Linked DNA regions of Macaca fascicularis. The protein of the gene in region 2 interacts with the protein of the main gene of each other region in a pairwise test. Links are inferred from orthologs where the notes say so. Each region holds a gene or a part of one and is shown on either strand. Other genes may lie near its edges. The genes, in order: RABAC1, SPG21, DTX3L and EFHC2.

The links.
Region 1: the proteins of SPG21 (region 2) and RABAC1 interact in binary tests that used the Homo sapiens proteins (3 or more experiments, as listed by UniProt). The two-hybrid records come from large-scale screens. The link is inferred for Macaca fascicularis from reciprocal best matches to the Homo sapiens genes SPG21 and RABAC1.
Region 3: the proteins of SPG21 (region 2) and DTX3L interact in binary tests that used the Homo sapiens proteins (3 or more experiments, as listed by UniProt). The two-hybrid records come from large-scale screens. The link is inferred for Macaca fascicularis from reciprocal best matches to the Homo sapiens genes SPG21 and DTX3L.
Region 4: the proteins of SPG21 (region 2) and EFHC2 interact in binary tests that used the Homo sapiens proteins (3 or more experiments, as listed by UniProt). The two-hybrid records come from large-scale screens. The link is inferred for Macaca fascicularis from reciprocal best matches to the Homo sapiens genes SPG21 and EFHC2.

The regions. Positions count from the first base shown.
Region 1 is NC_088393.1:48,996,774-49,004,413, forward strand, and holds RABAC1 (prenylated Rab acceptor protein 1), read right to left. Parts: upstream 4,643-7,640; 5' UTR 4,559-4,642; coding exon 4,503-4,558; intron 4,222-4,502; coding exon 4,009-4,221; intron 3,613-4,008; coding exon 3,515-3,612; intron 2,383-3,514; coding exon 2,281-2,382; intron 2,198-2,280; coding exon 2,109-2,197; 3' UTR 1,947-2,108; downstream 1-1,946. UniProt on the Homo sapiens protein: General Rab protein regulator required for vesicle formation from the Golgi complex. May control vesicle docking and fusion by mediating the action of Rab GTPases to the SNARE complexes.
Region 2 is NC_088381.1:41,566,150-41,573,286, forward strand, and holds part of SPG21 (maspardin), read right to left. Parts: intron 4,241-7,137; coding exon 4,079-4,240; intron 1-4,078. UniProt on the Homo sapiens protein: May play a role as a negative regulatory factor in CD4-dependent T-cell activation.
Region 3 is NC_088376.1:160,682,027-160,689,920, forward strand, and holds the start of DTX3L (E3 ubiquitin-protein ligase DTX3L), read right to left. Parts: upstream 4,064-7,894; 5' UTR 4,010-4,063; coding exon 3,823-4,009; exon of another isoform or gene 3,643-3,822; intron 2,569-3,642; coding exon 2,357-2,568; intron 1-2,356.
Region 4 is NC_088395.1:44,292,117-44,299,253, forward strand, and holds part of EFHC2 (EF-hand domain-containing family member C2), read right to left. Parts: intron 5,181-7,137; coding exon 5,038-5,180; intron 2,411-5,037; coding exon 2,214-2,410; intron 1-2,213. UniProt on the Homo sapiens protein: Microtubule inner protein (MIP) part of the dynein-decorated doublet microtubules (DMTs) in cilia axoneme, which is required for motile cilia beating.

The DNA.
Region 1 (7,640 bases), on a different chromosome or scaffold from region 2:
GATTGCTTCAGCCCAGGAGTTTGAAACCAGGCCAGGCAACTTAGTGACTCTTGTCTAACGAAAACTTTTTAAAAAATTAGCTGGGCGTGGTGGCGTGCACCTGTGGTCCCAGCTGCTCAGGAGGCTGAGGCAGGAGGATCACTTGAGCCCAAGAGGTAGATGTTGCAGTGAGTGGTGGTCACGCCACTGCACTCCATCCTGGGCCATAAAGTGAGACTCTGTCTCAAAAAAGAAAAGGCAAGAAGCAAACTGGGCTGAACATAGTGGCTCACACCAGTACTCCCAGAACTTTGGGAGGCTGCAGGGGGAGAATCACTTGAGCCCAGGAATTTGAGACCAGCCTGGGAAACAAAGCAAAACCCGTCTCACAAAAGCAAACTGTATGTCTTTCATCTTATGCAGAGTAAACCCAGAGCCCTCACCATGGCCCACAAGGCTCCCTGGCCTCCCCCTCTGTCCCTCTCGCTTATCTGCCCCAGCCACACCCACCTCCTGGCTGCCCTTGAGCCTCCCGGCTGCTGCCATCTCCTGGGCTATGCCCCTGTGGCTTCCTCTGCCCCAATTATTCTTCCTCCAAAGGATCTGGGCTGCTCCCTCTCTCAATTTAGGTCTTTGGTGAATGTCACATCAGGGAGGCCTTTTCTGGTCACCCTCTTTAACTTGCAACTCACTCCAGAACTTTCTCTGTGCAGAAAAGAGTTAACCTGGCAGGTTCTACCCCAGACTGCTGTCTTTAGACAGGCCTGGGTGCACAGCTGGTCCTTGGCTGGGAACTTGGGTGTCAGGAGGGGTCTTATCACTTCCTGATAGAGTGGCTCGCTGTGTCTATCTAGGCTGTTTGTGCAGGCCCAGGCCTTCCTTCTGGGAGCCTGGCATTTTGGTATGTGTTGGAGAAAAGGTGCTCTTGTAGCTGCCCCCATGAAACCGAGGGCGCCGAGGCTAGGATCAGAGTATCCCTGGCTGACATTTCACACATGTCACCATGATCCACTGCTGGAGGAATCAGGTGTGGCCTCTGGAAGTGCATGCCTGGTTTCCTGAGTTCACTCCATGTACCTTTTCTTTTGGCTGACTTGGCTCCATATCCTTTGATGAGAGTAAATCAGAGCTATCAGTGCAATTGCATACTGATTCCCAAGTCCTAGAGAACCATCAAACCTGGGGTGCTCTGATTCCCAAGTCCTAGAGAACCATCAAACCTGGGGTGCTCTCTGATTCCCAAGTCCTAGAGAACCATCAAACCTGGGGTGCTCTGATTCCCAAGTCCTAGAGAACCATCAAACCTGGGGTGCTCTGATTCCCAAGTCCTAGAGAACCATCAAACCTGGGGTGCTCTGATTCCCAAGTCCTAGAGAACCATCAAACCTGGGGTGCTCTGATTCCCAAGTCCTAGAGAACCATCAAACCTGGGGTGCTCTGATTCCCAAGTCCTAGAGAACCATCAAACCTGGGGTGCTCTCTGATTCCCGAGTCCTAGAGAACCATCAAACCTGGGGTGCTCTGATTCCCGAGTCCTAGAGAACCATCAAACCTGGGGTGCTCTGATTCCCGAGTCCTAGAGAACCATCAAACCTGGGGTGCTCTCTGATTCCCGAGTCCTAGAAAACCATCAAACCTGGGGTGCTCTGATTCCCAAGTCCTAGAGAACCATCAAACCTGGGGTGCTCTCTGATTCCCAAGTCCTAGAGAACCATCAAACCTGGGGTGCTCTCTGATTCCCGAGTCCTAGAGAACCATCAAACCCGGGGGTGGTCTCGGGGACCCCCGGCACACTGTCCTTCTCAACTCTTTTCTCCTCCTCAGCACTCACCACCATTGGGCATCCCATTAATATTTTACCTGTTTACCTTATCATCTTGCCCACACCCCAGGTTCCACCCCAACCCTGATCTGCACAGTATTCCCAGCTGCACCCATAGAGACCCACAGAAGATGCTAGGGGAGTATTTCCTGAATGACACCCGTAACAGCTTTATTTTCAAAGGCGGGATCCCTCCCCGGGCTTGTGATGGGACGGCGCTATGGGCCCGAGCAGCAGAGCTGTGCAGGAAGGAGTAGGCAGGGGCGGGGCAGCTGGCCCGGGAGGCTGGCAGGTCCCAGAAGACACCTCACACGGGTTCCATCTGCAGCTCCTCCCCGTCCACAGCCTCAATCTGGTGGAAGGCAGCATGGGAGCCGATGACCACCAGGGTGGCTCCTGCAGGAAAGCCGGCAGCTCAGGGCCATGCTCCTGTACCTGGCCCCCACCATCCACCCCAGCTGCTCAGACCCTGTACTCACCCAGCACCCAGAAGACGGCCGAGCCCGCACCAGCCAGCCAGAAGAAGGGGAAGGAGATGCCTCCAGCCAGAGCGTACTGATGCGCTGGGCTCACCTCTCGGCCTGAAAGCAGATGGCATTGGGGCGCTGTTCCGACCCTTCATGCCCTCTCCCAGAGTAACCCCTGCTGCCCCCCAACAATCTGTATAAGCTTCAGGTCCTCGGGATCAAATCCAAACTCCTCATGCCAAGGCCCTCCAGGTCCTGGGGTCACCCTGCTCCCCTGGTGTCCTCACTGCCCTCCAGAACACAGCACACCGTCCTCGCCTGCCTCAGCCCCACGCTCTGCCCTCTGCCCCACATCCTCCAGGAAGTTCCTGGGATCCCAGCTTCCTGCTCCCTAGACTAGGGCTCTCCTGCTGCAACCCTCACGCAGACCAGGGGTCTCAAACTGGTGGCCCAAAGGCCAAATCTGACCTGTGGATGTGTGTTTGTTTTGAGATGTTTTACAAGGATGTGATTTGTGGCTGGCAAAGTGAATGATTTCACATAAAAATACCAACTTCACGCTTCCCATAGAAGTCTCAGGGATGGGGTCTGCATGCTCTGGTGCCTGTGCTGCAGGCGCTCCCTCCCCCTAAGCCCGTCATGCACATAACTTGCAGGCCCCTGAAGAGCCTGGCCTTCAGGTCTACCTGACAGCCCAATCCCAACTCCCTGACCCCACTCCAAACCTTGATTTTCCCCTGGGGGGAATTTCCCCTGGCATTTTGTTCTCCCAGTGGTCCTTGGTACTAGTCTGGGAACCACATGAAACACACTCCTCAGCTTCCCCAAGTTCCAAGTTCTTTCTGGTCACATCCCAGAAAGCAGGAAAAGAAACGGGAACAGATCTAGGCCAGTGTAAGTTCGCCACCTGGTGTCCAGTGTGGGCACCTGCAGCTGATGCTTGCCGCAGAAAGCGGCAAGGGGAGGAGAGAGGGGAGGAGTCATGTGGTTTGAAGAGGAGTAGGTTTAAGGCACAGCAGCCAGGTGGAGCCTAGGTTTGAGGAATAGCAATTTGAGGGGGCTGAGACTCGATGGGAGCATCGGTTGTGTCTGAGATTTTTAAAGGATCAGGTTTGGGAGATCTAGTGTACATCTAGGCTTCGGCGGACTTGGGTTTTGAAGGACTTGGATTTGGGGTCTGAGGTTTGCATTCCAAAAGACCAAGATTCGAGGGACCAAGGATTCATCTGGGCAGGGGGTTTCTCACCAAAAAGCACAAGCTTGGACTGCAAGGTGCGCAGATAGAGAATGTAACAGGCGCCGAAAAAGACAGCCAGAGCCACCAGCAACATAGGGGACGTCACCCTGGAGGAGGAGTGCAGGGAGGCAGCGGTTAGGCAGCTGGGGCTGGTCAGCCAGGGAGCCCTGGCCTTCTCCACCGGCGGGAGGCAAGCTACATTCTGGAGACCAGGGAGGGCCAGGTGACATTCAGTCACACTGCATCCTGGCCAGGGTGATGGTGGGGTAGGGACCTGGCCCTTTGGTGACAAAGTAGGTCTAGCAGAGCCAATCCTTGGGGGCGGGGCCGGCCTGGGCGGTGAGAGGAGGGGCCTGGGCGGTGAGGGGAGGGGCCTGGGCGGTAGGAGGGGGGCCTGGGTGGTGAGAGGAGGGCCCGGGCGCTGAAGGGCGGGGCCTGAGCTGTGAGAGGAGGGGTCCACCCGGTCGGGGCTAGTGCGGGTGCAGGGCCCGGGATGCACTCACACGCAGTACAGGATGAGGCCCAAGAACACGAACACATAGTTGCTCTGGTAGTACTCCACGTTGCGTACGAGGCGCTGGCACAGCTCGCCCAGGTTGCGGGGCCGTGAGAAACGCTGCTGGTCCACGAAGGTGCCCCACGGCCGGATAGTCGCGCGGCGCCGCTCCAGCCACTCCCGGCCTGCACCGGAGGGAATCAGCTTCGGCAGCAGGGTCCTGCGAGGGGTGGGGCCGGGTCAGTGGTGGACCGGGATGGAGCCTCAGACCCCCGCAAAAGAAGGGGTTTAAGGGGGCTTGGACTCCCTCCCGGGACCCCAGATTACTGAATCGCAGGCGGGGAGGGGGGTAGGGGCCCAGACGCCAGGGTCCCATTAGAGGAGACCGGGGCCAGCGCTTGTGCGTCTCGGGGCTGGGACTCCGGGCACTCGAGGGAGGAGGGGGCCAGGGTCCCGGACTCCCGGGCCTCGGGTCCGAGGGCCTAGAGCCGGCTCGCTCACGTGGCGCTCAGCCCTTCCGCCTCGACATCTTTCTGCTGGTCCTTCTGGGCTGCCATGTCTGCGTCGTGAGGGGTAGAGCTGCTGTAACCAGCCCGGTACCCTGCAGACCCCGCCGGCCCCGCCCGAGGCCGGCCCCACCCAGCGGAGTCGACGTGGCGCCGCTCGGGAGCAGCTGGGGACTGTAGTTCTGCCGCCGATCATTGTGGGAGTTGTAGTCCTGACGGTGGCTGGGAGGGTGGGCGCCATGATGGCGGTCTGACTCGCAAGACACCTTGGGAGATATAATCCCAGAAAGTGACGGCGCGCACCTCTGGGCATTGTGGGACCTGTAGTTTCAGGAGGGTGCAGGTGCGCTGTCAGGAAAGAGGGCGTTATGGGAGCTCTAATGGCAGAAGAGGGTGTTGTGTACTCTCCCAGGCAGGGCACAATGGGGACCGTGCAGAGCTGTCGTTCTGACTCTAGAGGGCATAAAAAAACAACTAGAGGGCTTGCTAAAACAGACTCCTGGGCCCCACCCCAGATGTTCTCATTCAGCAAGTCTGGGGTGGAGCCCATAATTCGCATTTCTGAGTTCCCAGGTGATGCTGATGCCGCTGGTCCATGGACCACATTTTGAGTAGAAAGATTTAGAGAGTTTGTGGGAATTGATTCCTTCCTCAAGAGATTGAGGCTAGTGAGTGGGTCATGGTTGCTGGAGGGGTATCTGAGGTTGCCCCCTGCCCCACTTTGTGGAGTCCCAAAGATGAATGAGTTGGGACTAGGGACACCTCCGCACCGCCACCACCCCCCCCCCACCTGCAAACACACACACCTTTGGACAGGAGGGAGTGAAATTGGGAAAGAGAAAAGGTTGGGAAGTTTTGTGGGTTTTTCTGGGATGGAGTCTCACTCTTGTTGCCCAGGCTGGAGTACAATGGCACAATCTCAGCTCACTGCAACCTCTGCCTCCTGAGTTCAAGCGATTTTCCTGCCTCAGCCTCCCAACTAGCTGGGATTACAGGCGTGCACCACTATGCCCAGCTAATTTTTTGTATTTTTAGTAAAGACGGGGTTTCACCATGTTGGCTAGGTTGGTCTCGAACTCCTGACCTTGGGATTCGTCCACCTCAGCCTCCCAATGTGCTGGGATTACAGGCATGAGCCACTGTGCCTGGCCCCAAGTGACTCTTTTAGGCCCAGGTCTTGTCTTCCAAGATCTACGGCACTTCAGGGTTTGTGCTTGGAAGCCTGCTGGAAGGCGTTCCCAGGAGGTGGGGGGAAGATGGCCCTGTCCAAGGGGCTGGTGGTGCAATAGGCAGGGAAGCCCTTTGCAAGGGCCCCACACTGAAGATGGAAGAGTTACACTTTGAAGATCAGATTGGCTAGTTACTATTTATTTCCTCTTTGTCACCCCCAGGCTTTTAGTGGAATCGGGTTTTCTTTTTCATTTTTGAGATGGAGTTTCGCTCTGTTGTTCCAGCTGGAGTGCAGTGGCACAATGTCTGCTCATTGCAACCTCCGCCTCCTGGGTTCAAGCGATTCTCCTGCCTCGGCCTCCTAAGTAGCTGGGATTACAGGTGCGTGCCACCATGCCTGGCTAATTTTTGTATTTTCAGTAGAGACAGGGTTTCATCACGTTGGTCAGGCTGGTCTTGAACTCCGACCTCGTGATTCGCCCACCTAAGCCTCAGCCTCCCAAAGTGCTGGGATTACACGCGTGAGCCATCGCACCTGGCCTGGAATCAGGTTTTCTAACTAGGATTCAAACTTGAAAATCCTACTCCTTTGACTGCGGGGCCGGGTGTGGTGTCTCACACCTGTAATCCCAGCACTTATGGGAGGCCCAGGCGGGCGGATCACTTGAGGTCAGGAGTTCAAGACCAGCCTGGCCAACATGGCGAAAGCCCATCTCCACTAAAAAAAATACACATGCCTGTAATCCCAGCTACTTGGGAGGCTGAGGCAGGAGAATCATTTGAACCCAGGAGGCGGAGGTTGCAGTGAGCCAAGAGCGTGCCACTGCACTTCAACCTGGGCGACAGAGTGAGACCCTATCTCAAAACAAAACGCCAAATGAGGAGTGCACGATTACCCCCGAGCAGGAATAGGGGAGCAGCATCTGAATTCAAAGGGCCAGAGCAGCAGAGGTAGCCCTTGGAAGAACCTCCATGGAAAGACAGAGCTTGGAGAATAGAATTGGGACAGAGCTCCAGCTGCCTCTTCCATGGCCGGCTGTGGGAGATCCAGGATTAACTTTTGATATGAGAGCTATTGGGTTTCCTTATAGGAACTGAATGAAAGCAATTTCATTCCAAAACCCACTGGTCTTTGTTCTGAGCGGAGAACATAGCGGCAGAGGCCTGGAGGTATCGAACAGCATGGGCCATGGTGGGAGATGGGGTGGGGGACAGTGGAGTCTGAGGGGCAAGGACATTGCAGGAGGGGCCCTAGGAGTGGGAGGGTCGGGGGGGGACTTTGAATAAGGGAATTTCAGGAGATGGGGCCTGGACACAGGGGCAATGTGGGAGAGGAGGGCCTGAGGCAGATACATCATGAGAGATGGTGAGAGATGGGGTCCCTGAGAGAAGGGGCCTTTGGCAGATGGGCCCTGAATTAGGGGAGTAGGCGGGTGGTGTGCTGGGAGATGAGGGAACACCCAAGAAGATTGTGAGTTCCAGGCAGGGTGTGGTGGCTCACGCCTGTAATCCCAGCACTTTGGGAGGCCAAGGTGCGCGGATCACTTAAGGCCAGGAGTTCGAGAGCAGCCTGCCCGACATGGTGAAACCCCATCTTTACTAAACATACAAAAAAAAAAAAAATTAGCTGCGCGTGATGGTGCGCGCCTGTAATCCCAGCTACTGGGAAGGCTGAGTCAGGAGAGTCACTTGAACCCAGGAGGCAGAGGTTGCAGTGAGCTGTGACTGTGCCACTGTACTCCAGCCTGGGCGACAGAATGAGACCCTGTCTCAAAAAAAAAAAAAAAAAAAAATGGATCCCTCCAGCCTGAGGCCTCCTCCCTGCCTCCTGGGATCCCCAAGGAAGTGGTGCTGGGAGAGCAGGAAGACCTTAGTGCATTCAGCCAGAAACCTGGGGTCACTGTCCCTGCTGTGTGACCTCAAGGAAGGCCCTCCCCTCTCTGGGCCTCAGTCTCCCCACCTG
Region 2 (7,137 bases):
TGTGAGTAACAATTTCAATTCCCATCAATTTCCTTTCTAAACAGCTGAAAAAGTCTGGGGTTTAAGGATGAATATACCAGAACCCATCCCAGTAAAGAAATATGGTTTTCTCTTAAATCTAATTTCATTCAGAATTATAGCTCAGGAGAGATGGAAACAAAATTTGTTCTAAGGAGAGCTCCCTCTCTTTTTGGTAGCATTTCTTTAAGGGGGTATTCAGTAAAGTTGTTCCTCTTCTTTTAAATGACTTAGTTACTCTATTTCATTTATTGTACTTTGGGGTGTTTGTTTCTTGAGACAGTCTCCTCTGTTGCCCAGGCTGGAGGGCAGTGGCGCGATCTCGACTCATTCCACCTCTGCCTCCCGGGTTTGAGTGATTCTCCTACCTCAGCCTCCTGAGTAGCTGAGATTACAGATGTCCACCACCATACCCAGCTGATTTTTGTATTTTTAGTACAGACACAGTTTTGCCATGTTGGCCAAGCTAGTCTCAAACTCCTGACCTCAAGTGATCCACCTGCCTTGGCCTCCCAAAGTGTTAGAATTACAGGCACGAGCCACTACACCCAGCTTGTTTTTGAGATAGGGTCTCTCTCTCTCACCCAGGCTGGAGTGCATTGGCACAATTGTAAGCTCACTGCAGCCACAACCTCCTGGGCGCAAGCGATGCTCCCACCTCAGCCCCCCAGTAGCTGGAATCACAGGCATGCACCACCATGCCTGGCTAATTTTTATATATATATTTTTTGTAGAAATGGGGTTTTGCCATGTTGCCCAGGCTGGTCTTGAACTCCTGGGCTCAAGCGATTTGCCTGCCTCAAGCGATTTGACTGCCTCAGCTTCCCAAAGTGCTGGGATTACGGGTGTGAGCCAACAGAAGTACCATGCCAGGCTATTGTACTTCTGTTTGTGAAAAAGAAGTATGGTACTTGACTATATGTAGCCTGTCTATTAATGCTGGCAATGATGAGGAAAAAGAAGTACAAGTCACAAACTCATTTCTAAGGGACTCAGGTTTGTCCCCTAAGAATTCCTTTTTTTGTTGTTTGAGATGGAGTCTCACTCTGTCACCCATGCTGGAGTGCAGTGGTACGATCTCAGCTCACTGCAACCTCTGCCTCCTGGGTTCAAGCGATTCTCCTGCCTCAGTCTCTCAAGTAGCTGGGACTACAGGCGTGTGCCACCATGCCCAACTAATTTTCTTTCTTTTTTGCATTTTTAGTAGAGACGGGGGGTTTCACTGTGTTAGCCAGGATGGTCTCGATCTCCTGACCTCGTGATCCACCCACCTCGGCCTCCCGAAGTGTTGGGATTACAGGCGTAAGCCACCGTGCCTGGTCAAGAATTCCTTTTTTATGTACATATAAAACCCACTGGCTGGGCGCAGTGGCTCATGCTTGTAATCCCACCGCTTTGGGAGGCTGAGGCAGGGGAATCACTTGAGGTCAGGAGTTTGAGACCAGCCTGGGGAACATGGTGAAACCCCATCTCTACCAAAAAAATACAAAAATTATCCAGGCATGGTGGCAGGCAGCTGTAATCCCAGCTACTGGGGAAGCTGAGGCATGAGAATTGCTTGAGCCTGGGAGGTGGAGGTTGCATGAGCTGAGATCATACTACTGCACTCTAGCTGGAGCGACAGAGCGAGTCTCCATCACCAAAAAACAAAAACAAAAACAAAAACAAATCCCAAAAAACCTCGTCTAACAGGCTTATTGTTTAAGCACTTAGGTTCATTTTGTTACTGATGAATCACTGGAATGGATACTGCCAAATGAATTATGGGATCATTTTAGATTTGATGTATGACTTTTATTATTAAAATTCTATTTGTGGGTAAAACTTCCACCATGCCAAGAAAGAATGGGGAACCGATTCTCCCTAGCAGAAAGTTTGAGAATTTGAGTCAGATGATAGCCTAAAAGAAAGGGGATGATATTTTCATGGAGTCTTTAATTTATAAATATCTGTGCCCACACAGGTGACAAAATTATACACAACTTAATACATACAAACAAATGTGTTCAAGCAGAACTGGAGAAACCTGAATGAGATTGGTAGATTGTAGTAATATCAATATCCTGGTTGTGATATTGTACTACAGTTTTGCAAAGGTTTGGCGGAAACTGAGGAAATGTGTAAAAAGGATATTTCTCTGAACTATTTTTTACACTGCATGTGAATCTACAATTACAACAAAAAAAAATTTAAAAAGGTCTGTGCATTATAACTGCTAGATACTAACAAATATCAAATAAATTCCACAACCTCATGGAGCTGAACATTCTGATCAAGACGCTGTTGACCTTTTCTTGATTAACTATCCTCCTAACGAAACAGGGAAAGCCCACATCGAGAACCTTGAGGGCAAAGAAGAAACATCCAGCCAGAAGCCAAGGCTCTCATGATCTGCCACTGTGGAGCGAGAAACGCTGTTGGACAGCACTCCCAAGTGGGACGGGCACCTGCAGGCTGCTTGGCTCCCCCTCCCTGGCTGATCAACAGGGGCCACCAAAAATGGTAGTGTCATGTCTCAGGCTGCAGAGGGCTTGGATGAGGGCAGTTCCTACCCTGTTCTAGAATGCTGTTTGTGAAGAGGAATGACTGAAAGTCTGAACAAAGGAGGATTATGTTGCAGAGGCTCAAACATGTCATGTGACGAATGGTTAAAGAAGCTGGAGAAATTAAGCCAGAGAAGAAAAGACCCAGGAGAAAAGCAGCAGGTGGTGGTGATGATAACTGTTTTCTCAAGTAAGAGATGGGCTCTCAGGAGGAAGAGGAACTGATTTCTTTTGTGTGGCCTCAGTTGGTGGTAACCTCAGTAGAACTTTCAGTTACCTTCCAAGAGAAGACATGTGACATGCTTTTTCACCCCTTCAACAGTAAATAACACACACACTAACAGCAGCACTCCCACCGGGAGTACCACTTACAAGTGAATACTGCAGGCGACTGCCAGCTAAAAAGGCTGTCTCCTTCCTGGGAAATTAGGAGACCAACGTCCTGACCAACCTGTGTCGTTACAGTGGAAGCATGCAAAAAAAAAAAAAAAGAAAAAAGAAAAATCAGTCACCAGGAAGAGTGCCTTTCCCACACACTTTTCTCCCAGAGAAGACTCAAGAATGATCAGTGGGAAACTGGATTTAGACCAAACTCGGCTATAAAGTACTAATCATAAACAAAAAACTTCCTAACCAAATGCTAACATATGAGCTAATTAATGAATCTCACCTCAAATATCAAAGATTTACACGAAAAGCCAGCTTTTCAGTCACTTGTGTGTTAGCTAATCCCTTTGTTGTCTAATATTCCATGCTCAGCAACCCTGGAAGCAGTGCTGTGATAAAACGAGGAGCAGAAACAGAGCCAGGAGACAGAGCTCAGTTCCTCCCTCCACCACTTACTGGCTGTGTGAGCCAGACCTCAGTTTCTTCATCTGTAAACAAGGACAACACTTCCAACCACTCCGAGTTGAGAGAAGGGCGTCAGGAGAGAATGCACGTAAACGCTGGGCATGGAGAGGCTGCCAATAGAGGTTTGTTCCTTCTGAATCTCTGTGTGACTGTGGACTCACACCAGCCTCCTTCAAAAGGCTTCATCTCACATATTAAAATAGGCAAACAATATCTTTCCTCAATTAAAAAAAACTGCCCGGCCGGGCGCAGTGGCTCATGGCTGGAATCTCAGCACTTTGTAAGGCTGAGGCAGGTGAATCATGAGGTCAGGAGTTCGAGACCAGCCTGGCCAACATGGCGAAACCCCGTCTCTACTAAAAATACAAAAAATTAGCTGGGCATAGTGGCGGGCACCTGTAATCCCAGCTACTCAGGAGGCTGAGGCAGGAGAATTGCTTGAACCTGGGAGACGGAGGTTGCAGTGAGCTGAGATCACGCCACTGCACTCCAGCCCTAGGTGACAGAGTGAGACTCCGTCTCAACAAACAAACAAACAAACAAACTGTGCCTATTACTATAGCTGATCAGAGACAGAAGCACACACACACACACACACACACACACACACACACAAACCCACAAAACGTCGGTCTACATTTTAATACTGAATCAGTAATACTTACAGCGATAACCCGGTAACCCCATCCAGTCAGAGCCAAAATCTGCCGGAAAAAGACATCTGCAGTTCCACTGACAGGGGGCAGGAATATGAGAGGACACCTGATACTTCGGGGGCCTGCATCATAGAGCGACCATATCTTACTGTCATCATCATCTACGATAATCTGGAGGGAAATTTAAAAGAAAAAAGTGGAAAATCTTATAAATTCACTTTTTATGTTATTTTACACTATCATTTCACTGACAATTTTAACACTACTGCCTTGTTTGTTACAAGGTAACCTGAAGCTCACACCAGATTAGCATGCATGACAGACTCCTCTAGTCTCCTTTTCTTTCCTCAGGGCTAACATATTCCACAGAACTACTTAGAACTACTTTATAATCTTCCAGAGGGCTGCTGCTTCTCTGTTTCTTCCCCCCCACCCTTTTTCTTTTTTTGAGACAGAGTCTCGCTCTGTCGCCCAGGTTAGAGTGCAGCAGCGTGATCTCGGCTCACCGCAACCTCCACCTCCCAGGTTCAAGCGATTCTTGTGCCTTAGCCTCCAATGTAGTTGGGATTATAGGCATGTGCCACCACACCCAGCTAATTTTTGTATTTCTATTAGAGACAGGGTTTTGCCACGTTGGCCAGGATGGTCTCGAACTTCTGACCTCAGGTGATCTGCCTGCATCAGCCTCCCAAAGTGCTAAGATTACCGGCATGAGCCACCACACCTGGCTGCTTCTCTCAGTTTCTACCTTTCCCGTCCATCCACAACAATAGGAAGAAATCTATTTTGCTTAACATTAAACAGTGAACTCTATACAAGACATCTTATTTCTTCCCACATTTCTGGTTGTGTGTGTGTTTAAGAATGTGTCTGTACAAGGAGGGCAGTCTGCAGTCATTCTGCAGTGCTGACCCAGAGGACTGGCTGGGATGTGCAGGGTCAGAGTATGAACAGGGGAGCTGATGGGGAGACAAGGCTCCTAGCTCGTGTCTCTATCCACCTGGATAGGTGGGTAGAGATAGCACCAGCTCAGGAGATGCTTCAGGAGCCTCTCTAAACCAAGCCTTTGGGGAGTTGTGGGGGAGACTCTGCTACAGAAGGGGAACGAGGCAGGTCTATGTGTCACTCTCCTGGGAGAATACATCAAACCAGTAGGGGTTAGGGAGTGGCACAGAGAGAAACTGGCTTTTTGGTGAAAAGTGGGTAGGAAGGAGGAAGGTAATCAGAAACCTTCCTGATGGAGTGGTTCTTGACCCAACATGACGGGGAAATAATGAGCACTGGAAGAGCTGAGGGGGCCGGGCATGGTGGCTCACGCCTATAATCTTAGCACTTTGGGAGGTCAAGGCAGGTAGATTACCTGAGGTCAGGAGTTTGCGACCAGCCTGGCCAACATGGTGAAACCTTGTCTCTACTAAAAATATAGACATTAGCTGGGTATGGTGGCACATGCCTTTAATCCCAGCTACTGGGGAAGCTGAGGCAAAAGAATTGCTTGAAACTGGGAGGCGGAGGTTGCAGTGAGCTGAGATCGGGCTCCAGCCTGGACAACAGAGCAAGACTCTGTCTTAAAAAAAAAAAAAAAAAGGAAGAAAGAAAACAATGTGCTGAGGGCCAGGCGTGATGGCTCACGCCTGTAATCTCAGTGTTTTGGGAGGCAAAAGGCAGGACTGCTTGAGGCCAGGAGTTTGAGACCAACCTGGGCAACATAGTGAGATCCCCATCTCTACAAAAAATGAAAAAATTAACCAGGTGCGATGGTACACACCTATAGTCCCAGCTACTTGAGAGGCTGAGACACAACAATCGCTTGAGCCCAGGAGTTCAAGGCTGCATTGAGCTATATGATCGCACAACACTCCAGCCCAAGCACCAGAGGGAGATCCTGTCTCTCTCTCTTTTTTTCTTTTTTTTTTTTTTGAGATGGAGTCTCACTCTGTAGCCCAGGCTGGAGTGCAGCGGCACGATCTCGGCTCACTGCAACCTCTGCCTCCCAGGTTCAAGCAATTCTCCTGCCTCAGCCTCCCAAGTAGCTGAGATTACAGGCACGTGCTCCCATGCCCAGCTAATTTTTTGTACTTTTAGTTGAGATGGGGTTTCACCATATTGGTTAGGCTGGTCTTGAACTCCTGACCTCATGATCCACCTGCCTTGGCCTCCCAAAGTGCTGGGATTACAGGCATGAGCCACTGCACCCAGCCCAGATCCTGTCTCTTTAAAATAAATAAATAAATAAATAAATAAATAAAAATACAACAACACTCCAGCCTGAGCAACAGAGGGAGAGATCCTCTCTCTTTAAAAAAAAAAGAAAAAGGAGGCCGGGCGCGGTGGCTCAAGCCTGTAATCCCAGCACTTTGGGAGGCCGAGACGGGTGGATCATGAGGTCAGGAGATCGAGACCATCCTGGCTAACACGGTGAAACCCCATCTCTACTAAAAATACAAAAAAAAAATTAGCCGGGCGCGGTGGCGGGCGCCTCTAGTCCCAGCTACTCGGGAGGCTGAGGCGGGAGAATGGCGTGAACCCGGGAGGCGGAGCTTGCAGTGAGCCGAGATCGCGCCACTGCACTCCAGCCTGGGCGACAGAGCGAGACTCCGTCTCAAAAAAAAAAAAAAAAAAAAAAAAAAACAAAGACAAAGGAAAGAAAAAAAGGCAAGCTGAGGCAAGTCAAGTGCTCAGCAGAGTCTGGCAAATGTTAAGTGTCCTAGAAGTATTAGTTATTATTATTCACTGCATCCTAGTTTAATTTTTGTTTTCTCTGACTTTTGGTGGTATTTAGAAAAGTACATTAACTGCTTGAACATTTGACAATGCAAATCAGTATTTGTTCTACTTTTATATTAAAAAACTCAAGGCCTCCAGGCTCTGTTTTCTGAGAGCTCCTCACTAGCAGGGCTATGGACTCCACAGTGTCACTGTGTGCATGGCAGCACACTAACCAGGGTCACTCACTGGCATCACTAGGAGCAGACAAATGGAGCAAGGCAAAGTCCACAGAGGCCTCACAGTTCCCCTTTGGACTTCCGCAGGTCACAGATGGTGATAATGTATCTCATGCTCATGTT
Region 3 (7,894 bases), on a different chromosome or scaffold from region 2:
CTTCTCTTCAGGAGAATGCATAGAGACTAGAGAAACAACCACTACATCTACATCTTCCCCAAGCAGGGGGCAACTTCTTTCATATCCTATTTATTTATTTATTTATTTATTTATTTAGAGATGGAGTTTCGCTCTTGTTACCCAGGCTGAAGTGCAATGGCATGATCTCGGCTCACCGCAACCTCCGCCTCCTGGGTTCAAGAGATTCTCCTGCCTCAGCCTCCCGAGTAGCTGGGATTACAGGCATGCGCCGCCATGCCTGGCTAATTTTGTATTTTTAGAAGAGACAAGGTTTCTCCATGTTGGTCAGGCTGGCCTGGAACTCCCAACCTCAGGTGATCCGCCTGCCTCGGCCTCCCAAAGTGCTGGGATTACAGGCGAGAGCCACTGTGCCCGGCCTCAAATCCTTTTTAGAGGATACAGCATGCTACATCCCAGAGGTTCTCAACCCTGTCTGCATATAAGACTCACCTGGCAAGTTCAGGGAAAAATAAACCAGCCAAAGCCCAAGCACATCCCCAGAGATTCTAATGTTAACTAGTCTGCAGTGGAGCCTGGGCATGAGCATTTCTGAAAGCTCCATGGCCAAGAGATCTGTGTTCTACAACTGCCACTATCTGTTTGATCTTGGGAACAGCAGTCAAGGGAAGGCACTGTGCTCTCTGGGCGAGTTGTCATGGCCCTCACAAATGTCTGTGAACTTGGAAGGGAGCCATAAAGCTGAGGAAAATGGCTTTCCTATGACTGTTTTTTCTCTTCTTCACTCCTCCTCCTTTTTTCTTTTTAACACCTGACTGCATGCGAAGTTGTCGGTCCCTTCTAAACCCTGGCCTTTAGAAGCTCAAATATAAGACGTGCCAGGTTAAGATAAAAAGGACAGAGGCCAATTAAATGTAATATAAAAGCAAAATTTCTAATGTTTTGTTCCTTCTCAAGGACTTTGCATGTAAATCCTTCCTCCAGATCTTCAAAATGTTTCCTGAATCCAGCCATTTTTCACACCTCCATCAAGGCCACCCAAAGTCCATGCCATTCTCATCTTTCACCTGGCGCATTGCAACCCCTCCTAACTGGGTTCTAATTCTCCATTCTAGCCCCTTCCTATGTTCAGTTTTCCAACAGCAGCCAGAGTGACCGTTTAGAAATATAAACCAGATCGTCTCTCCCCTGGCTCAAAACTATCTGATGAATTCCCTAACATTTTAAGTTAAAAATCCAAAATCCTTATCTTCAGCCCCAAAGGCCTGTCTTCTGTGTACCTTCCCGAGTTCCTAGCACCTCTCTCCCTTGCTCACTGCCCTCCCACCACACTGGCTTCCTTCAAGCTTCTGGGCCTCAGAATGTCAGCTCTTGGGGCCTTTGTACCTATGCTTCCCTCTAGGACATTTTCCCCCCAGAAATCCACTTGGCTAGAGATGTCATCTCACTTGAGGTTTTTCCAGACATCCTATTTTAAATGGTGGTTCTGTCATTGTCTGTCACGTATTCTTCTTATTCTTCTTTCTAGCAGGTATGACTGGCAGACATTTTATTATATATCTATTTGTTTATTAATATTGTCTGTTTCTCTCACTAGAAGGTGCCATCCCCAGAAGCAGAGTCTGCCATGTTCCTGGCTGCCTCCCCAGCTCCTATAACAGTGCCTGGAACACATTAAGCAGTGGATATCTATTGTTGAATGAATCTTGTCATCATTCAAGTTGCAGGCCAAACGTCACCTCCTCAGTCAAGTTGTCTCTGATTTCTGGTTAGAAGTAGAACCAGGCTAGGCGCAGTAATTCATGACTGTAATCCCAGCACTTTGGGAGGCCAAGGCGGGCAGATCGCTTGAGCCCAGGAGTTTGAGAACAGCCTGGGCAACATAGTGAGACTCCGTTTCTACCAAAAAAAAAAAAAAAAATTGGCTGGGTGTAGTGGCGCCTGTAGTCCTAGCTACTCAGGAGGCTGAGGTGAGAGGATCGCTCGAGCCCAGGAGGTCAACGCTGCAGTGAGCCATGATTATGCCACTGTACTCCAGCCTAGGTGATAAAGTGAGACTCTGTCTTGTTGGGGGAAAAAAGAAATAACACCACCCCCATCTTCCCTTTGCTCGCCCTAGCCCTGTTTCTCTCCAAATAAATAAAATGGTTCTAATTATTTCACTTGCCTACTGTCTTTCTGTGCATGCCCTGGGCCCCAATATGAGCCGCCTGAGAGCAGGGACCTTGTCTGTTGTGTTCGTCTCTGTGTCCAGTGCCTAAAACAGTGCCTGGCTCCCATGTATGTGCCCAGCACATGGGTGTTGGATCAATAATACATGAGGCTGGTGACTGGAGAGGAGGCGCAGGTACAGCCAGCTCCTTCTTTCAATACTCACCTTTTCGAGACAGGAATCCACAGCATTAGGAATATGTCCTTCATGTTGATGCGTATCACTAGACGGTGTTTCTGCTTGTGACTGTGTCAGTGAAGAAATTTGAGGTCTCATGTTCTTCTTTATTGAATTTTCAGTGGGTACCAGGAAAATGGGCACAGGTTCGTTGTCAACAAGCATTTGGTGTTCTCCTTTTTTCAACACTCTCTCCTTAGCTTCAGCAGAAACATTAAACACACACATATACATACATAAAAATGGGAGAGATTTCAAGTAATCCTGTCATTCCTGTGTCTGTACCCTGCCCCAGCACCTCCCAGTAAGGCTGCTCACTGCACCCCGGAATGGTGGGTTGGCGATGGAGGAAATTGGGGAGCTATTAAGAGTTCTGAAGTGTGCGGATTAAGTTTTACTACAGAAGTGAAAGCTTAACGACAATGGAACATTGTCCACTCATTAAACGTCATGTTTCTGAAACTGTCTCCAGTCTCCCCTTTCTTCCTTCCTTCTTTATTTCCCTCCCTCCCTTTTTGTTTTTTTGTTTTGTTTTGTTTTTTGAGACGGAGTCTCACTCTGTCACCCAGGCTGGAGTGCAATGGTGCGACCTCGTCCCACTGCAACTCTCTGCCTCCCGAGTTCAAGCGATTCTCCTGCCTCAGCCTCCGGAGTAGCTTGGATTACAGGTGCGCACCACCACGCTCAGGTATTTTTGTATTCTTAGTAGAGACGGAATTTCGCCATGTTGGCCAGCCTGGTCTTGAACTCCTGGCCTCAAGTGATCCACCAACCTCGGCCTCCAAAGTGCTAGGATTATAGGCGTGAGCCACCACACCCATCCTGGTCTCCCATTTCAATACTCATTATACAGGTAAGTTACAGCAGCAAGTATCAAAAGTGCAGACTCCGAATTGTGTAAATACACGTGTGTTTGCTGGCATTCGTAAAAAAGGGCAGGAAGAAAATACACCAAATGGACACATTGTTTATCTCCAGGTTGTTTTCTTTTTTACTCTTTTCTCTTATTTCTATAGTGAGCATATATCACTTTTGTAATCCTCAAAAATACAAAATGGAACATCCTTTTGTTAATGGATGGAACAATGGAACCATTATTTAAAACATAAAAGTGGAATCCCTGAATGACAAGGACGGCAGCTGACAGGCATCTGGAGGATGGAAGATGACAGCTGAGAAATTAAGTTAGAATGAGGATATGGAAAACATCCACACTAAGGCGGGGTTAGCCGGATCCGCACCGGGCACATGTGAGGCCCTATCCTCCACCGAGTGTTCCCTGTCTCAGTGAGTCTCTTGGCAGCAGGGCCCCGTCCCTGTCCGCCACCGCACAGTGGCATACTTTCTTCCGCCCTCTCCCCTAGGTCAGCTGGAACTGGGTCCGCCTGGAAACCCGGGAGTCGGGGCCCCAGAGACGGCTTTCGGCTTTCGCAGCCCGACCGCCCGAAGCTCACCTGCCCTTTCACTGAACTCCACCCGGAAGGTGCCCGGGGCTTCGTGTTCCTGGGGCCTGACCGTGCACTCTCCGCCGCCCGAGGACTTAGAGCTCTGGAAGTAGCTCTCCAGCTTCCGTTGTACCCGGAGGCCGGACCCGGACACCCGCACGAGGAGCGGGGACGGCGGGCGCAGGTCGGAGGCCATGGCTCTGCGCGTCGGGAGGGCGCGGGGGCTCCGGGACGCCGCTGGGCCGGGACTGGGGTAAAGGCGCGGCCCGCCCCGCCGACTAGGCGCAAAGTTTCAGTTTCGCTTCCCCGGAGGTCCCTCCCTGTTCCCAGCAGAGCTGCTTCCCCCTCTTCCCTGTGCTGTCTGCACCGAGGCGAGTGGTCTGCCGGGTGGGTAGGTCCGGTGCCCCTGGGCCCTCGGGGTCCCCTTTCCTGCAGGCTCGGGGTACGGGGGGGGCGGAGAGTGGGGGCGGGCGCGGACCAGGATCCCAGGGCCAGGCCTCCCTTATGAGTAGACTATGCAAAGAAAGTAAGTTTCTCCTGTGTTTCTTATTCTTTGTAACTCTTACTGCTGTTATCACTATTATTTGATGCTAAAAAGTAATTCACATCTGAATCCATGTTAAACTTACCCATTTTTGAAAATTTGAATGTGTTCATCTGGTAATTGTGACCTGTTACCCCTTCCCTCCCTCCAACTCTACCCTTTAGACAGGCTCCTGGGGGCTTTTCTCCTCCATTGCTTGATTTAACCAACAGCACTGAATTGTTTCTTGCTGCCCAAAGAGCAGAGCAAGGCCCTGATGTCAAGGGCTGGTGAGGGGAGGCGGACCTGTGAACCAGGGAGCAAAACTTCTTCAAGGCCTCCAAGGAGAAGTTTCAAGCAGCATCTTAATAAACTGAGTGTGGCGACGAGATGGGGAGGACAGGGTTGGGGGGAAAAGCACCTAAGGCTTAGGGACCACTATGGTCTGAAGCACAGAGTGGGCCTGGGGCCTGGGAGGAGAGGAGATGGGTGAGGGGATGAGGGAGGGAGGGCCTACCTAGATGGGCACTGTCCAACAGAGATACAATGTGAGCCAGTATGTTCATTCTAAAATTTTTGCAGCCATATTTTTTAAAGGATAAAGAAACGGATGAAATTAATTGTAATGATGTTATTTAACTTGACATATCCAAAACTTAATCATTTCAGCACATAATGAGCTTTTTACATTCTTTTTATCATACTGCATCTTTGCAACCCAGTGTTTTTCTTACACTTACATCACATCTCGATTCAGACTGGCCACATGTAGCCTCAGTAGCTACGTGAGGCTGATAGTCCACCCTGGACAGCACATATTTAGATGGTGAAAAGCTTTGAAGAGCAGTAAATATGACTTGAAGGGTTGTAAGCAGGGAAAGCAAGAAAATGACTTGCCAGATATGCATTTTAGAAATATGGTGCTGACAATGGTGTGGAAGACACATTTACAAGCAGGGATGACTGGCGGCAGAGAGGACAGAGATAAGGTTTTTGCACATGGCTGGTAAGACTGGAAATGGGTCAGTCTTCACTGTGAGCAATTTGGCAGTACTGTCAGAATTACAACAGCATATGCTTTTTGATTCTGGAGTTCCATTTCTAGGGATTTGTCCCATTGCTATATTAGCCCCTGTGTGAAGTGACCTGTGTACAAAGATGTTCTTTACAGCCTTGTTTACAATGGCAAAAGATAGGTAACTCTTTAATGTCCATAAATAGGGGGACCAGCAGTTTAATAATAATAATATATCTATACAATGGAATACAATGGGCAGTGGGAAAAATGAAGAAGCTCTCTATGTGCTAATATGATAAGATCTCTAGGATACATTACGTGAGAAACATAAGATGCAGAAGGGTGTATATAAGCTACTACCTTTTGTGTAAAAAATGCCACTGGAAGAATACAGGAGAAGCACTCTGGACAGGGAATTTAGTAGGGGAGATAGGAGGAAACCTTTTACATTTTCTTATACATCGTAAATGTAATACCTATTCAAACAATAAAATGTCAAATCAGGTACATTTAAATCTTTGAAAAGAGTATATTGCTGGCTGGGCGTGGAGGCTCATGCCTGTAATCCCAGCACTTTGGGAGGCTGAGGCAGGTGGATCACGAGGTCAGGAGATCGAGACCATCCTGACTAACACAGTGAAACCCCAGCTCTACTAAAAAAATACAAAAAAAAAAAAAAAATTAGCTGGACGTGGTGGGGGGCACCTGTAGTCCCAGCTACTCAGGAGACTGAGGCAGGAGAATGGCATGAACCCGGGAGGTGGAGCTTGCAGTGAGCCAAGATCACGCCACAGCCTGGGCCACAAAGTGAGACTCTGTCTTAAAAAAAAAAAAAAAAAAAAAAAAGAAAAGAAAAGAAAAAGAAAGAAACAAAAAGAAAGGAAAGGAAAGGAAAGAAAAGAAAAGAAAAGAAAAGAGTATATTGCCACAGCTCAGGCAAAAGGTGCTGAGACCCTGAGGTGAAGCAGTGTCAGTGGGTGAGGAAGGTAGGGGCATATTTGAAAGTGATTTAGGTTGTCAGGTCCCAGATATGAGACAAAAAAGACTGAGGGAAAGTTGCTAGATTTCTGATTTGAGTGCATAAATGGTATTATCATTTACTGAGCTGCAGAATCCAGGAGATAAAGTATGGATTTGGTGGGGGTGGGATGGAGGATTGGAGACCAGGAGATATGCAGAGGCTTATTTGAGGGGACTGTGAGACCTCCAGGTGGAGTTGAAAAATGGGGCTCAGGAGAGCCATGGCCTAGAACTGCAGATATTAGAGTCATATTTGCAGTTGGTGAGTTGACGCCGCGGGAGTGGATGAGTTCACTCCTGCAGAGCATGTAGAATGAGATGAAAAATGCCTTAGACAGAATCCTGGAGCAAACAATTAAGAGGGGTATGGTGGAAGTGAACGCAGGGAAAAGGCCTGTAAAGGTAAAGTGAAGGGTAATAAAAGAACCAAGGGAAGATGGCATAGGAGAAGCCAAGAAAGCAGGATTTCAGGAATGAAAGAGTGAAATACTATAGAAAGTGGTCCAGTAAAGATGGATAGAAGATAATCCATTGGCATTAACCACATGGGGGATTCTGATGAGCAGTTTCTCTCCTTTTTTCTTTGAGACAGGGTCTCATTCCTGTTGCCCAGGTTGGAGTGCAGTGGCATGATCACAGCTCACTGCAGCCTTAGCTTCCCACCAAGTGATCCTCCCATCTCAGCCTCCCAAGTAGCTGGGACTATAGGCATGTGCCAACATGTGCAGCTAACTTTTTGTGTTTTTAGTAGAGATGAGGTCTTGCCATGTTGCCCAGGTTAGTCTTGAACTCCTGAGCTCAAGCAATCCGCCTGCCTCTGCCTCCCAAAGTGCTGGGATCACAAGTGTGAGCCGCCGTGCCTGGCCACTGGCAGTTTCTAAAGGGTGCTGGGAATGAGACAGGGAGCCAGGTTATAGTAGGCTGAGTGGGCAGGTGGACAGGAGAGTCCATTACTCATTCCAGAAGTTTAACTGCTTATGAAGAGAAGGAAACACAGTAGGAACCAGTGATGGAAAGTTAGGAAGGCTTTTGTGGTTATGCTGTTTTTAATATGGAAGAGGTGGAATGCTTAGAGCACTATGCTCCTTGTTTGGCTATCCATAGGCCTGTAAAACCTGGCCTGAAGACAGAAACAGGTGCAACATTTAAAGCAAAAGCTCATGGTCAAAGCAGATGAAGTCATCCTTCTTTTTTGAAAACAGCAGTGCCCTCTGGAGGCAAAAAAAATGCATCTTGTCTTTGCATTTTAGGATGCAAAGGATTGTACTAGACCTGCTACTTTCCCTTGATGAGTAAAGATCGGGATCTGATGCTGTAGATGGTTGTACAAAATTTTTCTATTGCAAAGACGTTAGAATTATTTAGCGGCCTAAATATAGCAACAAGTGTGGGCAACTGTATCTTTAAGCATTTTCATCATCACTCTTCTAAAAATTCATAATCTTTAATTCCTACCTATTAGATGGAAAATCATTACAAAGTATTTTTTTCTGAGATTTTCTGACTTTTAACCAGATATG
Region 4 (7,137 bases), on a different chromosome or scaffold from region 2:
CTCTGGGCTGTCTACTGTTCCTGTCTCTTATCCTGTGACTAGCTTTTTGACTTGTTAAGAATACTTCTTGCATCCCAGTGAAACATAAGGTCGTAAATAATTATAGCTAAGAGATCAAAAATGAGAAGATGAAATTTTAAAATAAAAACGTTGATGGCAATTTAGTCTAAAGATCCCTCTCTCCCACCAGAAAATGACCCAGGTGGTTTGGCACCTATCGCAGACCCCTACTCCTCCCACTTTTTTGCATTTCCTTTCATCTATTTCCATGACAGGATCTATTAGCTCTTTTGAAAAGATTCCTCAGGCTGATATTAAACAGTATAGCAAACTTTCTCTGCTTAGAATGTCTTTGTTAAGGGCAGTTTTAAAATAATGCAGTTTTCACTTGGGATGCTGATTCCAGATAATGTCCTACCCTGCTTTTATTGTCCCCAAAGGAAAAAAAAAAACCTTTATATCTTATATTTATACTATATATATTTTATATTACGGTATAGGTTCACCCTCTGATTGGAAATAGAATTCTAATTTACAATAGTAACACTGATTGAGCTTACCATGGGCCTCATGGTTAGCTCAGAGCTTCACACACATTATCACATCTAATCTTCATAGCAATTCTATCAAATAGGCACTGTTGTTCCTTCCATTCCAAAGATGAAGAAACTGAAGCTCAGGAAAAATACGTATCTAAGGTCCCTCAGCTATTAACGTGGAGTCAGGTTCCCAAGCCAGGCCTGCTGGTTTCCAGAAATCTAAACTCCCGATTACTGAGCTTCTTGTCTAGATTCAGTGTTTTCGAATAGCTCCTGGTTCATGGTTTTATGATAACCTGCATCCCTAAGACTATAAATGGAGAGATGGTGTGGCAGCCATGGAGGGCGCTTTGCAGGCCTCCTGTCAAGAGAGACCCTGTGGAGAAGAGCATCATTGCCTGACAGACTCCAGCTGCCATATCTTCCAGATTCACACAGAGTTCACAGGCAATGTCGCTGCTGGGGCCACCCTCTCCCCAGGCTGTTCCCACCCAATGACACAGCACAGCAGGGGAACTAGAGCCAGGCCATTCCTGCCTGACAGGGGACCTCTCTGATGGGCAGTCTGTGCTCTGGGGCTCCCCTTCACTGAGAAAGTGAGACATTCTCAGAGCTGCGCTGTCAGCTGAGGCTTTCCCTACCCACCCCTCCTTCCTTTCTCTCTCCTTCCACAGGGGTTCAACCTGTCTCCTGGTCTGAAGGCCCCCCTGCCCGCTCCTGTCCCCCTCCCCCTTTATCCTTCTCAGAAATTTCCCCCACGACATCTCTCACACTTCTCATTCTGTCTTGGCGTCTGCTTCTCAGAGGACCCAAACTGATATGAATGATGTGATGTACCCAGAGACACTGATCTTAGCAACTTAACCCCAGGCATTTTATATATAAATGAGACAAAATTGGCACTGTATGTATATAAATGCTACATAAATATTATCACTTATAGGTAAACTTTTAAAATAAAATTTTCCAGATAGATTTTTCCATATTAGGCAATGATTCCCAAATAAACATGTTTGTACACTGAACTAGCCCACATTTAAAATCCAGATTTTATCAATATGTTATTTTTACTGAACAGCATTGCCATAATGGCACCTGCAGTAACAGTACCCATCTGCCATCTTATTTGAAAAAAAAAAAAAAAAACTCTTTGAGCTCACTGTCGCCAGTTTATCCTGAAATCCTTATTTAGGCCTCAGGTGGCCACTGTTATGGGAAGTTGCAACTCCAGCAACTATTCAGTTCCCTTGAGGTTTCTGTTTGTTCAGGTCTTGGCCTTCTCTGTTGGCCTGTGCCAATTAACTGGGACGGCACAGTGTGTGGCACCAGATTTTTCTTCCTTTCCTATAGTAGTTGAATTTCTTTCTGAAAACATTGTTAGTGTCAGCAAAAAACCCAGGAAACTTGATTCAACGCTGGCCCTGCCTCCTGCCTGTGCCTGGAATCTGTGATGCTGGGCAGAGGAGAACCCAGCATGTAAACAGAGTAGACAAGAACCTGGCCTCTGTGATGGGACATGTGGCCAAGTCACACGAATCCATTATTCATGCCCACATGTATGAATGCACAATGTAAAACTGGTGGCAAGATGAAGAAGAAAAGGCCCTAGAGAAAGAAAAACACAGACTGCGGAGGGCTGAGAGGCAAGTGAAGAATTACACAAAGTAAATTCACCTTATCTGTATTCTGCTCCATGTAGTTTAAGGTATACTCATCAGCATTGAGCAAACGAAATAGGTAACCATTCACATTCACTGTGACTCCAATGTACAGGTCCTCAGCCTTGATATATTCAGATAGTTCACTTTTAAAGACTTCTTGTCCAGGCTTCTTAACGCGACTTCTTTTCAAGAACATCCCACCGGTAATTCCTATAGAAAAATAGAAAAGTTCATGAGCAGCCTTTATTCTTAAAAGAACCATCTGACTTGCCTTCAGAGTTACTTTATCTTCAAGCACAGACCACCATATAAGTTACCTGTGAACTAATATTGCCTATTGTTTTGGACTTAAGGGAAGAATGAGGCAGTGAGTGAAGGAGTAAGAATTCCTAGGCAAGGGTGTTCAAGACAAAAAGCAAAGCCGGGCATGGTGGCATGTGCCTGCAGTCCCAGCAACGCAAGACGCTGAGGCACGAGGATCGCTTGAGGCCAGGAGTACAAGACCAGCCTGAGCAGCATAGCAAGATTCCATCTCAAAAAAAAAAAAAAAAGAGAGAGAGAGAGAAAATGATGTGTAATTCTAGCCTTTTTTTCTCTCTCTCTACTCTCTTCCCAGTCCAATAAGCACTTGGCAGGGACCTCCTATATATGCCCAGCAGCATACTGGGAGTGTGGAACATCAGGAAGATACTCATCTTTAGAGCATGTTTGAACAGTACCAGTTAGAAAATTCCTCACTTGTGCATATTTCCACCTATTTGTCCCAGATGATGTCTTATATTTAATCTGACATGCAGATTAAGTAGCAAATGCCCTACTTCTGTAAAGGAGATTACTTAAGTGTTTAAAGGTAACTATGGGAGTCCCCTTAAGTCATTTTTTCCTACAGGTAAAATCCCTTTGCTTCTTTTAGTAACGCTTCATATTAGTTTCCAGAGCTGTCACCATTTCATCTGTTCTCTTCTAGACATTATTTGTTGTGACCTCTTGGAAAGTAGCCAGTAGAGTTGAACAGGGAACTCCAGCATCTTCTGATACTGAACTGAAATCTACAGACCTATAAATATAGCCTGAGACCAGATAAGCTTTTGGGCCACTTCATCCCCCTTCTCCTACCACATTCAGAAATGATAGGTGGTAAAAAGACACAGGCTTCCGAGTTCTGTCACTTACTTGCTGGGTGATCTTTAGGAGTTATTTAATCTCTCTGAATTCTTATTGGTACAATGGGAATCAGATGTGTGGAGGTCCAGAAAATGTACTTCTCAGGTCGCCTATAGCGAAGAACATAACTGATGGAAGGCCCCAGCTGTTGTGTTCTTAAATCAATCTTCAGGTGTGTGTTGAGGTCACTCTTCCCACGGGCTGCTACCAATAGATGAGTGACCAAGGCAGGGATAGTAAGACAGGCTCACTCCTACAAAACAAGGACTCCTCCAACTAGCAACTTTGCCTCAAGGACTCCCTGTCGACCTTGTCGAAATTTTCTTAGAATTTCACTGCAGTCTAAGACTCCCTCTTTCTTCCTTCCCTCTGAGCTTCACAGGTGTCAGAACTGCACTATAGTCTGACAGCTCTCCCAGCCTCTTCTGGCTCCTTCCACATTTTCCCTCACCAGCATTCCCCCTATTAAATCTCTTGCACATTTAATCCTGTCTTGGTAGTTGCTTCTCGGAGGAGCTGGACTAACACAAAATCTAACCTCATAAAGTCCTTGTAAGGATAATAGTAAGTTCTCCATCATGGCCACTGTGATTACTAGTAAGCTTGCTGCTGACTATCATCACTGCTTTCTGTTTCACACATGCTGCAACTTGTTTGGCCACATCTCCCCCATTCTAAGTGTACAGAGTTGATTTTTGACCTGTAAGAGCATGACTTATATTCATCCCTATGCAATTTCATATTTTAAGATTTGATCCATTATTCAAATCACTGTGGAGCCTTAGTTATACAAGTTATTCATTACTCATCGCTGTGCTAAGTAGCTCATATCAGCTCATAGGAGCTGAGAGTCGAATTTTCAGAGATTTTGCAAGCCAGTTTTTAAACTCTTGGCTGCTTGAAATTGGCCATGGTTGGGGTATTCACACCATGGAAACTGGCAAACAGTACAAATCAGGGCTTTTAAAATCTTTTCAAAGAGCCACTTAACCAGCACATCACTGATTATTCTTCCCAAATGCATGTCTTCAGCACAGATAAAAGTTCTAAACGTGTTGAGACAAAGAACAGGGTCCTACAGTGCCATGATTGGGTAAGTCAATGGCTCTCCTCAGCAGTGACGGTGGTACCAGCATATTGCAGAGAGGCATTCTATGGGTCTGAGTGCGGGAACCTTGGCAACAACCTCAACAGACAGAAGGACCAGATAAAGATGGACCCTGACGATTGAATTTGTGTATCTGGGATTCTTGTCTTACAGCCAAACAAAAATTTTGTAAGTAGGACTATCAAGAATGCAGACTTCCTCTTGGCTTGCTGGCTACAAGTAAAACTAGTGGTACCCAGACCATGAATTTGAAGCCCTTGGGTTCCACAGAGGTGCCTCAGAAGTCACAGTGGAAGTGGGGATAGTGGCAAAAAGGAAGTAACTCCAGGTCCCCTGGCCCTAAGCCAACCAAAACTGTTTCACTTCTATCATTTTAAATGTTTAGGTTCCCATTTAAGAGATTTGTAAAAAGAACTCTATTGTTCGGGTTTTTTTTTTTTTTTTTAAATAAAGCCTCTATTGTAGATAATCTAGGCTACAAAACCAGATCATGTTCCCTAATTTTCAACATGAAGAGACACTTAAAACATTCTCAAGAAAATACTGTGAGAAGGATATCTCTTACCTGAATTCCTCTCTATAGGTTCAAACACTGAAATGGTGTCATCACTGAGATAATATGAAATAACAAACATCCTGTCCAAGTCAACACATTTGTCTGTGACTAGTTTTGCAAAAAAACGGAGTATATTGCTTTTGAAGCCATAGCTAAATGGAACAGAAATGAGAGTTACAGCATTATACAGGTAATCTTCCACATATTATGTCTTTAAAAGTCTGCAAAAGGTATAATATGGCTTTAATAGAGTAGGCATAAACTGTCCAAAGTGAAAGAGTTCAACCGTCTTCTAATTAAGGTTCTAAATCTAAATGCAGAGGAATTTTCTCAGTATATTAAGATATCTCTCATTCTTCACATGTCCTGGGTAACACATTGGGAAAATGAACCCAAAACAAACGTCATAAACACACTGCTCAAACCAGCTGCGCTAACTGGCTGTTCTCTAATGACGAGGCTAGTCACCAATCACAATAATCATGCTGGAAAGAAGAGCAAGCACCTAGCCCTACTGCGTGGGCAATCCTGGGCTCTGCCAGTATCTGAGGCTACCTCCCCCATTCACCACTCACTGTCTCATGCCCTTTGCTTTTCTGTTTTCCAGCCCACATCCTCCCCTCTCTGACTCACTCCTCCAGCTCCCCAGCATCCCCCCAACTTTCTTCAAGAGACAAATTAACTTTTCCTTTTCAAATGCTATAACACATAGGATGGACCCACCTTTTTTTTTTTTTTTTAATAGCGCTTATCACTCATATTGTAAGCCATTACAAGTCTGTTTTCCAAGGACAAAGACTGTCTTATTAACCATTATCTAATATAATACTTTTTACATTATAAGTATTCAATAAATGTTTATGGAAAATTGTTATGAGATCTGTATTGATTGGAATTTGCACTCAGAATTTTATGCATAGATAAAGATAGGATGAAATTACAGAATTAAAAGTTACCAAAGTTGATTGCCTGGTCACTGAAGAAACTGATTTCTGATCTGTCAGCAGAAGCATGTCTGCGGATATCAGCTAGTGAAAGGTGGACTTTGTAACAAACAGTAAACCCTTGGAGAGGTCTTTGATAACTAAAATCATTACCCCAGGGAGATACACAGGATAATAAACCATGTCCTCTGTCACAACTCTATGCACAGAAGTCTTCCCTTGCAGGGTCTCCTAGGCTGAAGATCATTCTTTCCTTGTGTCCACAGTGATTAGAAAAATAAAACAAGTATTTCTGACTTGCAGAGGCAAAAGTGCTTTTCTCTGCCCCTTTCTCGGGCTGTACAAGAATGATGGCTAAGAAAGGATGGCACCAAGATTCCTAGGCTTGAGGCCCCATGTGAGATGGTATGCAGCAGTTTGGAAAGCTCACCCCAAAACAGCCTGAGCAAAGCAGCCAGGTCTGCATGGCTGTTTTCTCAGTACCGAGTTCCCAGGCTTCAGACAGACCTCATATAGTGCGTGGGGCGCGGGGAGAAGCTATGCCTTGTCAACCATCTTCGCTGGTACATAATTGGGTTTGTAAGTAACAAATAGATTTGGTAGCCCCTCTCACACAAAAAAGCCATAACATTTCAGATACCCGAAATATCACTGAAACAGGATAGGTCTAACTTCAGGAAAAGAAATATTACTGTAAATTTAACTTCTTATAATTTATAAGTGTATATGTTAAGTGTGGGTTCTTCACACATTCAATATGCCTTTTTTTTTTTTTTTTACCTAAATCTAGTGTTCTGGAGATCTCATCAATCAAGAATATAATCTACTCAATAAAATTTTCAGACTAGCAGTTCACAAAGTTTATTGTATATAAAAATCACCTGGGGAGCTTGTTAAATATACAGAATCCAGAGTCCCATCCCCAGAGATATGGGGGGATTCAGTAGCTAGCTCACATCTCCAGAAACCTGCATTATTAATAAGCACCCCAGAAGATTCTGATAAGGTGGTCACCTGGGCATACTTTGAGAAGCACTGCAAGTGTCTTCAGATATTTCCCTAATAACTACTTCTCAAACTTCCCAGAATATTCTTTTTTATCACAATACTCCAGCTGACCACCTACTTATACCTCCTGCATCAATTGTAAGATCACACCCAAATT